Cricetulus griseus: one gene and its partners. The protein of the gene in region 1 purifies or fractionates together with the protein of each later gene. This does not show direct contact. Links are inferred from orthologs where the notes say so. Each region holds a gene or a part of one and is shown on either strand. Other genes may lie near its edges. The genes, in order: Ing3, Actl6a and Epc2.

Region 1 (3,655 bases):
CTGGCTTGAATTTCAGTTGTATAAATACCTGCTGTATCTATTACCTTAGATGAACATGGCAAAGTTTCATTTCCACAGTTCACACAATCACCCTAAGTCTCTCACATACCAAATCTAGGGACATTTTCATGTAATCAGTTTTCAGGACATCAGCAAAAATTTAGATGTTTTACTGTTAATCAAAAGGAAAAACTTCCTGGAATACAATTTGCATTTTATATTAATTAACCATGAAATACCTAAAAATGGAAACAGTACCATAAAATGGTTTATCTTGAACAAAAGAAAGTAAAAAAAAAGTCACTTATATGCAAAGTCCAAAAAAATTACAAATGACTTTAACACTTAAACAACTGCCAGCCTTCAAGGTCAGGCAGTGCCACCAGCCATCTGCCCACGCCAGCAGTCTGCTTGGGTCACTGCACCCTGCCTTACTTAATTCCTAAAGGCCCAGCTGAGGCTCCATGCAAACAGCACTGAGCAAAGGCACACACTTCCACTCCAAAACTTACTTGCTCTTCCTGCCACTTCTCGAGTCAGCTGCTGAGGAACTGGCATTCTGGGTTAAGGTTGTCATGAGTGCCGATGAGGAGGAATAGCCAGCTGTTTCTCTGGGCATTGAAAATTCCTTTCCCAGCTGAAAGTCATTATTCTTAAACGCTTCATAACTGGCTTTTAAACTTGATGTTCTTCGTCCTTCTTTCATCTTAAGTAGACAGGCATTGACAGCATTAATATATGTAAATATGTATTTTCTCTTTTAAGCATTACAAGTTATGGTTACTTAAGTCATTTCATGTAAAGATGCTAAATCATTTTTATGCTAAGTTGAGAAAAACTATGGGAAATGGAACTTCTTAACTTGCACTGTGTGCAAACTACAGAAATGAGCTAAATGCAGCCACCACAAATCCAGCAGAAGCCTAACTTTGCAGAAAGAACAGTCACTGTCCTCACAAAGAGAACCAGGCTACTTGAGCACTGACTGGGAGAAGGTGGGCGTGTGATACCCACAGTGCACTCTCTACCCAACAACCCCTTGCATTATTAATAAAACAACACCCAGCCTAAATGTCAACTTCAAACCGAAACCAGGCAATGTCTTCAACCCGTCACTTCGAACCTAGTGGTTCCTATTGGGGGTTGCCAAGAACAGGAGCAAAAGGTAACATTTGCCTCTAAACCTTTGACTTTTCACCTGTGCTGTTGCTTGCACTGCTTGAGCTGCTGCCATGGTGATTGCCCCTGCACCAGTCCCTGAAGATAATGAACCAATGTTATAGGATGCCAGGGGTTGGGATGAATTCACATTGTAAGCATTGTTGGAGGAAGCTGTGGAATTATTATTTCGGCAACCTGTAAAGAGGTAAAGAAATAAAAATGGGGGCTGAGAACACAATGTTGCGGGTTTAAAATACATTATTTTTCAGCATATATAATCATGAAATTTAAATTCTTCAGGCACTTTAGGGATTGAGTCAATGGAAAAAACGGAAGCCAAATTTCCTTTTCTATTCTCCATCCACATGCAGACTTTAGCCAGGTAACACAGGTATGAATAATAACCCTGAGTGCTTCTCTGTGCCCTTACTCCAACACAAACAAAACAAGGGAATTACCACACTGAAGAGCACCAACTTACCCAGTGTGCTCTCCTTAGAAGCATCAGACGTGAGGGTGGACAGGAGAGCTTCAGATTTGAACTTCTTTTCGGGGATGTGATCTGTTGCTGTATGGTGAGAAGTTGGATTATATTTCCTTTCTGAATAAAAAGAAAGAATTCACACAGTTTTAAACTTTAGAGGACTACAAACTGGGCATAATACTTCCACCTCTTTATAAACCATAATTCTGATCTAGGTTCCCCATGAAATGGGCCATTATGCTCAGCAAGGAGGGGGCAAGCAAACAGCCCACAGCACATGTTTCACTTAGAGAGCAGACACTTCAAGGACTTTAGAAATTTATAGGAGCAAAATACTAAAGACAACCTATGATGCACTATGGTTTCACATATACCATGAGAGGAAGTCTATTTTAATATATTGCCTGTCATTCAGAATAGCTTTCAATTTACCTTTCTTTCCTCTTGTCCAAAAAAAAAAGACAGCAACACCATCAACTAGCCATGTATCCAACAATTCTTTTACTCACTAACTCATTGGTAGTGAGACTTTATTACATGCTAAACATTAGGCTAAGCATTTAGAGGCGAGGCTGACTGAGACATAGCCATATGAAGAAATATAATTCAGGTCTGTAGGAAGCAGAGAGATGCCGCTGGTGTTTCTATATATTCTGTCTCTGTATTTATAGAAGAGACTGCCTGTTCTCAGATTAAATGCACTTTGCTTAAATCGCAAAGTCAACTGTGACAAAAATGTATTTTTTAAAAAGGGAAAGGGAAGGATACTTCTCAGTTGGTTATGTGGAGCTAATAAAAGACATATACACAACATTAATGAGCTTTAAATTGTACTTGAATCAAACTTACTTTCCACAGGAGTGTGTGAATGAGCGTGGTGATTGTTCACTGGCTGAGAAGGAGTATCTAATTCCAAAGATCCTAGAGAGAGGGGCACAGAGACAAACAAGGATTAAATGTCATCATAGGACTTTACACATCAACCAGCCATAAACAATGTGTCCTCTCACAGATGACAGCCACGCTCTGGTGCATACCATATCATTTTAGCTAGGCATGAAGAGGGTCACAACCTTCAATTTTATCCTGAACAACCTTCTCTCTAAGCAGTCAGACTCATCTTTCAGTGTTCACCTTAGGTCCACAAGAGCTTAAGTCTACTTGAGTGCTAATGTCTACTTAGGGAATCTTTGATTCTGGGTACCATATAAAGAGGTGTGATGGCAAGAGCTAAAAAATTCAATCTAGTAACAGAGCTGAAGACCTTTCAATAGGTAATCCTGAAGGTCTAGGTATGGGGTATCAATGCATACTAAGAAATCCCTTCAACCATGAATACCAAATGAGATACCGACAACTCCAGAAAAGAACTTAGGGACTTTGCTTGCAAAAAGTAGAGGGTAGAATTCCTAATACCAAACTTGAAAATACTTCTAAAGAAATTTTCTGAGTTTATTCACGATTCCTTGAGTTAAAATCATGTCAGGGGGCAGAATGGAGCAGTTTTTTGTGATGTGATTTGGTTCCATTTCATGTGTATGTGTCCTTGGAGTCAATGTTTTATTAACCTTTCTGCAGCAGTGAGTAGGCAGGCATGGGTTATTGGTATTCACCACCAGCATTTCCAAAAGAAAAACAAAACACTTCAAAGGCAGTTACACAATGTTTCATTTTGTTCTCTAACACCTATTATCCTCAGATAGGTTTCCTCCAGAATAAAGGTATCCCCACTAGAGAAGATAACTGTGTGAAGTGATGATCTACTTTTACATTTAAAACTGCCATTCTCATTAACAGACACATGCCTGCTTCTCCAGATGAGCCTCTCGTGTCTGGTAAACATAGAGCTTAGGTACCTTGCAGTCCAGAAAACCACTATCTGCTGTAGACATAGGAACAAGTTCTGGCTGGTAAATGTACCAGGGTACATGGTCTGTTGGAACACTGTAATTGAATTCTCATAGTAATCTCCTTTAATACTCAGCGACTACCTACCTAATCTGACCCTAT
Region 2 (3,655 bases), about 89 Mb from region 1:
AGCTTAATTTATGATTTATTTTAAAAAAGGGCATTCTTAACATTGTTTTTTTGCCAATATGGCTCTGTAATATAGCATGAACTAGCCAGTGCTTTAATTACTACACATTGAATAACTGGGGTCCTTCCTCCCTTCTGCAGTGGAACACCAGGGCAAAGAGAGAGAAACTGACAGAGTTGATGTTCGAACACTACAGCATCCCTGCATTCTTCCTTTGCAAAACTGCAGTTTTGACGGCGTATCCTTAAACAATGTGACCGCTTTTCTCTGTGATTGTAAGATATTAGTGAGGATGTGTTTTCCTTTTTTTCTAGCTTTTTACCTATCTTTGAGTATTTTTAAGTTTTTTTCCCTGTTGTTGGTATATGTACACAGTGCTGGGTTTCATAATCACAATCTCCTTCAAATATATCATGTACCTGGACCATATTCACCCGACTCCTTAGATTCCCCTGCATGCTCTAATAGTCTCCCTACTTTCTTTTTCCACTCTGCCATCCAGGGTGGGTGCATATGCATGCACACAAATGCATGTGTTTTTAATGTATCTGTGAAGAATACTTGGATTTGCAAATACCGTTGTACATGTAGTATCTGTTTGCCTTGTCTCATGTAATTTTTTTCTTCAGTTTTTGTGCAAACAGCATTATTTCATTCCTCCCGGGTAATCAAATCTCCCATGTGTGTGTAGACCAAGTTCTCTTCATGTTGATGGACACCTAGGCTGACTTTATGACTTGGCTGTTGTAAGTAGTGCTATCATGAGTGTGAGTATGCAGGTATCTTGTGCTGTGTTGACTTAGTTCTTTTGGCATAGACCTAGTAGGTCTAAGTGGATACTAAGTAACTTTGTAATTTTTTGAGGACCCTCTTTACTAATTTTCATAGTGGCTGGACTAATTTACAAACTGGCAGTGAGTTCTCCTTCCCAACATCCTCATCGACTTCTGCTGTCTGTTCTTTTGCTGATAGCCATTCTGATTCAGGTGAGATGAAATTTCATTGTGGTTTTAATTTGTATTTTTATGGTAGATTTAAGGGTGTTGAGCATTTTCTCTTGGTTATTTGCCATTGGTAATTCATCTTTTAAGAGCTTTGTATTCATGCCATTAGGCTATTATTGATTAGCCTGCTTGTTTTTGGTCTAGTGTTTTGAGTTAGGTATGTATTCAGATAGTAATCCTGTGTCTGATGTGTATCCAGCAGATTGTCTGCAATTTCTGTGGGTAGTATGTGCTTCTGGAGTCTTTCTAAAATCATTTTGTGCTGTTAGGATGGTTTTCTGGGCTCCTTTTCTCTACTTTGAGGCTGTGCTGAACTTGTTTTGTGCCCACCATGTTCTCTTGACTCTTGTATCTCCTTCTTGCTCTTTCTCCATCCACATTACACCCCCTCCCCCATTATTGCTGAAGTCCCAGGAATAGGCTGGGTGGTCTGTTCTTCATTTTTCCAGGACATGCCAAGCTTTTCTTTCTGCAGATAAACTGACCTCTGTTTTACTAAACAAGATACCCTTTAGGGCAGAGATGGCTTGGGTTAGTTTTATGAATCCTTTGTCTTTAAGGAACGTTAGTGGCAGCCTTGTTGTATCCTCCACCCCCACCCATCTCTGTCGTTTACCTCCTCTGAAATGTTACTAGTCACCAGACTCGGGAGGACGTAATAGAAGTTGAGGAACCAGTGAAAGGCCCAACTCATAAACTTGCATATGGGTTGTCGTGTGTAGTTGGGGGAAATGAACCTGCCTTTTTCAGCTGTTGAGTCCACCTGGAATTGCTTGTTGGGCTTACTGGGGTAGAGGCTGGAACCACCAGCTAGCTGCCATATCACTGCAGTGCTTCTCCAAGCTCTCTACCCAAGGTTCTCACAGCCTCTTGCTGTTCTTGTCAAGTTTGTAAATTTTGTTTAAAAAAATTTTCTCAATTTGTTATAAGCCTTTTGATCAATTGTAGAAGTTTTCAATATGCTCGTTTTGACCCGCTTAATTAAAAAAGGGTTCTGCATAGAAACTGCTCTGGGAGTCCTCCTTGTGGAAGTTCATTTTCAAGATAGATTAATTACTGACACCCATTTTTCTCCCTAGACAGCTTTTTTTTTTTTTTTTTAATTCTTTTATTAGTTCAAATTAGGAACAAGCCTGCTTCACATGTTGATCCCTCCCCCTTCTTTCTCCCCTCCCCACCAACATCCCACTGCCCCTAGCTATCCCCCCTCCACTCCCCAGGCAGGGTAACGCCCCCAAAAGGGGCTCCCCAAAGTCTACCACATCATCCTGGGCCAGGCCTAGGCCCTTCCCCATGTACTAGACAAGCTTTTATACAATGCAGGTGATAAAGTATGTTTAAAGAACTGGCTTGAACATTACAAGAGCCAGCCTGTCATAATCAGCACTATCCTTGGAGCCTCGATGCTTATTTTTCCTTAATGCTTTAAACTAGATTTGCTAATGGTCGTTCTACTGGACTGATTTTGGACAGTGGAGCCACCCACACCACTGCAATTCCAGTCCACGATGGCTATGTCCTTCAACAAGGTAACTACTTAATGAGGGCACAAGATTACTTTCCCTGTCATGAGGACACAGATAATAAAGATAGATCAGGAATTCTATTGGAGCCATTCATTCCCAAGTGAATATGTTTTAAGTGAATGCATGGCTTTATGCTTTGAGAGGATAGTTTGGATAATTCTACTCAAAGAAACCTACACATATGCCAACACATTCACAGTCCCAAGGAATTCAGACTTTTGGCATCTTCAGCTTTGTTTGATTTGATTCTCAGGCATTGTGAAATCCCCTCTTGCTGGAGACTTCATTACCATGCAGTGCAGAGAACTCTTCCAGGAAATGAATATAGAGCTCATTCCTCCATATATGATTGCATCAAAAGTAAGCAGCATGAGAAGTTTCTTAGTGAGCCCTGCCTTGTGCTTCTGCTCCTGTGTGGGGAAGCCTCTTAGAAAGCATGTGCTCTTGGTGTTCTCAGGAGGCTGTTCGGGAAGGCTCTCCAGCCAACTGGAAAAGAAAAGAGAAATTGCCCCAGGTTACAAGGTCTTGGCACAATTACATGTGCAATGTGAGTAACCCCTATTGTCTTTATAGAGTGTTGGTTCTAAGTTACATGTTTTTAACATTTGACAAAATGAATACCTTAGGGGTGGGGAGCACTTGCCATATTATCAAAGCAGTCCCTACAGACAAATATAGCAGCTTGAATACATGGAAGAGGTTTTGGTTTTAGGGTAGAAATAGTTTTAGCACACTATTTTATAATAGTGTGCTATTATAGCACACTATAGCATTTTTAAGATGCTTTTAACTGAGCATGAGTTTGAGGCCAGCCTGGTCTACAGAGTGAATTCCAGGACAGTCAGGGATACACAGAGAAATTCTAAAAACAAAAAAGAAGATGCTTTTAGTTCATGTCAAACTTAGTATAACTTAGGTATGATTTCTTCTCTAGCATTAATTAGACATTCAGGAGTATGTCTCATTGCTTCAACAATGAGTCAATGAGACTTTTTACTGAAAATCTGTGTCTGAATATGTAGACCTATGTGGGTGAGAGGTTGGTATATTTGCCATTCCATAGATTCTAATTTCTAGGAGTAAAGGAATATGAAAGCCATAATTGACTAAGTGTATTCTGAGAGC
Region 3 (3,655 bases), on another chromosome or scaffold:
AAATATATTCAAATCTATGACATTTTAAGTAATTGAATGAGCAAAATAGAACTATCAATTTTGACAGTTGGGAAGGGATGAGACAGCCTCAAGTGTCCAGGTGGCCTCAAACTTGCTTCAACTCCTGATCTCCCTGTGCAACCTCAACTGCTGAAATTATAGGCATGTATCACCAAGCCTAGCTTTAGGATAGCAGATTACTGTTAAAAAACAAAAAAAGTTACAAAATCCAAGTTCATATTTGAGATTCTGATAAAAACACAATGATCAAGAACTTTAAAAATGCCTAAGGCATATAACACACAAATTTCTCAAGTATTTTATCAAGCACTGGGAATATTGCTTAGAATGTTTACTTCAGCAATCACACAAAATTCCCTAAAACCTAATGGAACTTCAGTCTATTTAATTATGCAGGAAAATACTCATAGATCATAATTCTGAGGAATAGAAACAGGAAATTTTGCCTTTTAACCATTCATTTAACAAAAACTAACATACAGAGAAATGGGCAAGATAATTCCTAGATTTTAAGAAAAGTACAAAGTACAAGTACAATGATTCTGCCAATATCTAAAAAGATCAATTCTCTACACTCCAATCTCCCCAAATAAATTCTAAACCAAAACAATCTAATTTTAAAATTAACTAGCAACGACAAAATTTATAAGGTAGAAATGAAATTTTATTACATAATCTCTATCTATGGTCACAAAGCCTGGCTAACATAGCCCTAGTATGGACAGTCACAATGTTACCTTTTCTCCACGACTTCCAGGGTTAAGTGCAATAATTCCCGTTTGGTTTTCTCTCTTCTCTTAATCATTTCCAAAATTGTTATGGCTCTACTGAACTCCCGTCTCAGCTTCAACATCTTTTCATAAGAGGCTTCATCATTCTTACGGTTCTTTTGAAATAATAACAATTTTAGAGAATAATGAAATTATTCATGTTTCCAGTTTCATTTAACAACCTCTTACTAAATCTCAATTATCCTATAAGTTTTAAATTATTAAAAGAAATGAGCAAATATCCAGATAGCAATTCCACAAGAATTCATCTGTTTAACTTAATTTTTGATAACTAATGGTACAGAAAGAATAATTTCAATGTAGAAAAAAATCCACCTGCCGGGCGTTGGTGGCACATGCCTTTAATCCCAGCACTCGGGAGGCAGAGGCAGGCGGATCTCTGTGAATTGGAGGCCAGCCTGGTCTCCAGAGCAAGTGCCAGGATCGGCTCCAAAGCTACACAGAGAAACCCTGTCCCAAAAACCAAAAAAAAAAAAAAAAAAAAAAAAGAAAAAAAAAAGAAAAAAAATCCACCTGACACAAAACCTAGTATATGAAAATTATAAAGTCCTCCTTCTGCAGTAATGTGCTACCCAATGATAAAAAACACCTCTACCAAGATCAAGGAATGGAAAAAATAGACCACAAGAGTGTCTAGCCATGTCCATCCAAATCTGCAGGTGAGAGCTAAAAGCTCCCAGCAATACATATAATCAAGAACAATAACAAAACTTCACTTCTGGCAACTCAGAAAACTGAAAACAGAATATTGAGTATTTCAAGAAATGGGATTCTCATGCTTCAACATAGACCTCATTGTAGGGGGAGAAAGAGATCTAGCAAAATCTTTAGACTTCAGATTATTGCTAACTTCTTACTTGTAAGCATAAAACATAACTTCAAATAAAAGATGACTCTGTTGTAATAAGCAGCATTCATCAGAATATAAAATCACCAATGACGTGTGCTTTAAGTCAAATGTCCCCAGTGTTTATACAGAGTCACATTTAAACACAGAACTTTAGTACTTCTCAACTGTCAGATTGACCTACACTTAAACCATCTTTTCATTCTTGAATTAACAATTGAATGTAATATCAGAAAGAATCTGAAGTATGTCTAAGGTTTCATAATAGATTACGAATGAAAATATAAAAGCCTTGAGTTTTATTTTTCCTTTTATCCACTTGGAAATAGTGTTAATCATAATCCTTTATGTTACTGCATATGGAGTATTTCTAAATGCTAAGATATTATCTTATTTTGCCAGAAGAAAATTCACCTTTATCCCCCCTTCACTGCATTAGCACTCTGTGACAAAAGATAGTAGGTGGAGTACAGTTAAAAGCAATTTTGGAGGGTAGACAGGAAACAATAACTTGTAACTGAAAAAAAAATCAACATGATCAACAGCAAACATTAAAATGCTTTCTATTCTGCTAATACTATATGTGCTTCCCAGATACATATATATGACACAAAGAATCAAAAGATGACTATTCATGAAGCTACATCTATATTTTGTGTCTGCTCTACTCTTCAAAACATGACTTATTTTGAAATAATTTCAGACAAAGTTACCAAAAAATAGCAAAAATGCTTTCCATAGATCTAACCAGATCTCCCAAAGGTTTGAAGTTTAACTAGCTTTTTGTCTCTAGTTAGGTATATAAATATACACAAATATACAAATTTGGTAGTATTTTCCAAATTTGAGATGAACAAATGTCCCTAAATATTCTAATCTGGTTTTACAAAGACAATGATGCTTTCACACAATTATAGCACAGTGATCAAAATCTGGAAACTAAGATCAATAGAATATTGGTGAGACAGTATTTTTAATCTCAAAATTAATTATTTTGCAAGTCTGACTCAGGATTAAACACTGTTTCTAGTTGTTATTTTCTAACACTCCATTATTTGGAAAAGTTCTATTTTTCTGTGTTCATCATGATTCCATTTTTTAAATGAGGAGTATTTATTTTTGTAGTGTATTCTTCAATTTGAGTTTCAATGTTTTCCCATGATTATATTTAGGTTGTATGTTTTTGACACAACTACCACAGAAATGACACTCACACCCTATCAAGAGTTAGAAAACACAATTTGTCCTATCACTGCTGATTACTTAATTAAGATGGTGTCTATTGGGTTTACCTACTAAAATATTTTCCCTTTTAAATTAACCTAGCATGCTGTATAATTATATGAGCATTGTTTGTCATTAAAATATCCCTCATTAGTTTAATGGTTCTTTCACCTGAGATAATTATTAGCATTGTTGGTTGCCAAATGGTGGTTTAAACTGTTTTTGTTGATTTTTTTTAAGTTTTGACATCTAAAGAAAAAGATGTAATGAATGGATAAAGAAAAAGTACAAATACATAGTGGAAATTCTTTCAGCTAGAAAAATGAAATTTATTTTAAATGGATAATTGGAGATCATTATGTTATACAAACTAAGCCAAGACTCAGAAAGACAAATACTACATTTTCCCCCATTTATAGAATCTCAATTTAAATTTGTATGTGCACAGATATGTATATGTGTGGTTATGAAAATAGAAAGAGGATGAATAGATCTTAGAGGGGAGTATTTTTTTAAAGATTTTATTTATTTATTATGTATACAACATTCTGCTTCTATATATATCTGCACACCAGAAGAAGGCACCAGGTCTCATTACGGATGGTTGTAAGCCACCATGTGGTTGCTGGGAATTGAACTCAGGACCTCTGGAAGAGCAGTTGGTGCTCTTAACCTCTGAGCCATCTCTCCAGCTCCAGAGGGGAGTATTAATACATGATATGGAGCATAAGAGAAGACTGTGGTGATCTGCAAAGGAGTGGCACTATTAGAA

The links.
Region 2: the proteins of Ing3 (region 1) and Actl6a purify together in Homo sapiens (affinity purification with western blotting; 3 studies listed by BioGRID and IntAct, with this or other methods). This does not show direct contact. The link is inferred for Cricetulus griseus from reciprocal best matches to the Homo sapiens genes ING3 and ACTL6A.
Region 3: the proteins of Ing3 (region 1) and Epc2 purify together in Homo sapiens (affinity purification with mass spectrometry; 3 studies listed by BioGRID and IntAct, with this or other methods). This does not show direct contact. The link is inferred for Cricetulus griseus from reciprocal best matches to the Homo sapiens genes ING3 and EPC2.

The regions. Positions count from the first base shown.
Region 1 is NW_023276806.1:205,244,295-205,247,949, forward strand, and holds part of Ing3 (inhibitor of growth protein 3), read right to left. Parts: intron 2,567-3,655; coding exon 2,495-2,566; intron 1,763-2,494; coding exon 1,643-1,762; intron 1,357-1,642; coding exon 1,199-1,356; intron 707-1,198; coding exon 513-706; intron 1-512. UniProt on the Homo sapiens protein: Component of the NuA4 histone acetyltransferase (HAT) complex which is involved in transcriptional activation of select genes principally by acetylation of nucleosomal histones H4 and H2A.
Region 2 is NW_023276806.1:116,638,878-116,642,532, reverse strand, and holds part of Actl6a (actin-like protein 6A), read left to right. Parts: intron 1-140; coding exon 141-238; intron 239-2,438; coding exon 2,439-2,533; intron 2,534-2,783; coding exon 2,784-2,890; intron 2,891-2,987; coding exon 2,988-3,077; intron 3,078-3,655.
Region 3 is NC_048599.1:124,775,202-124,778,856, forward strand, and holds part of Epc2 (enhancer of polycomb homolog 2), read right to left. Parts: intron 908-3,655; coding exon 759-907; intron 1-758. UniProt on the Homo sapiens protein: May play a role in transcription or DNA repair.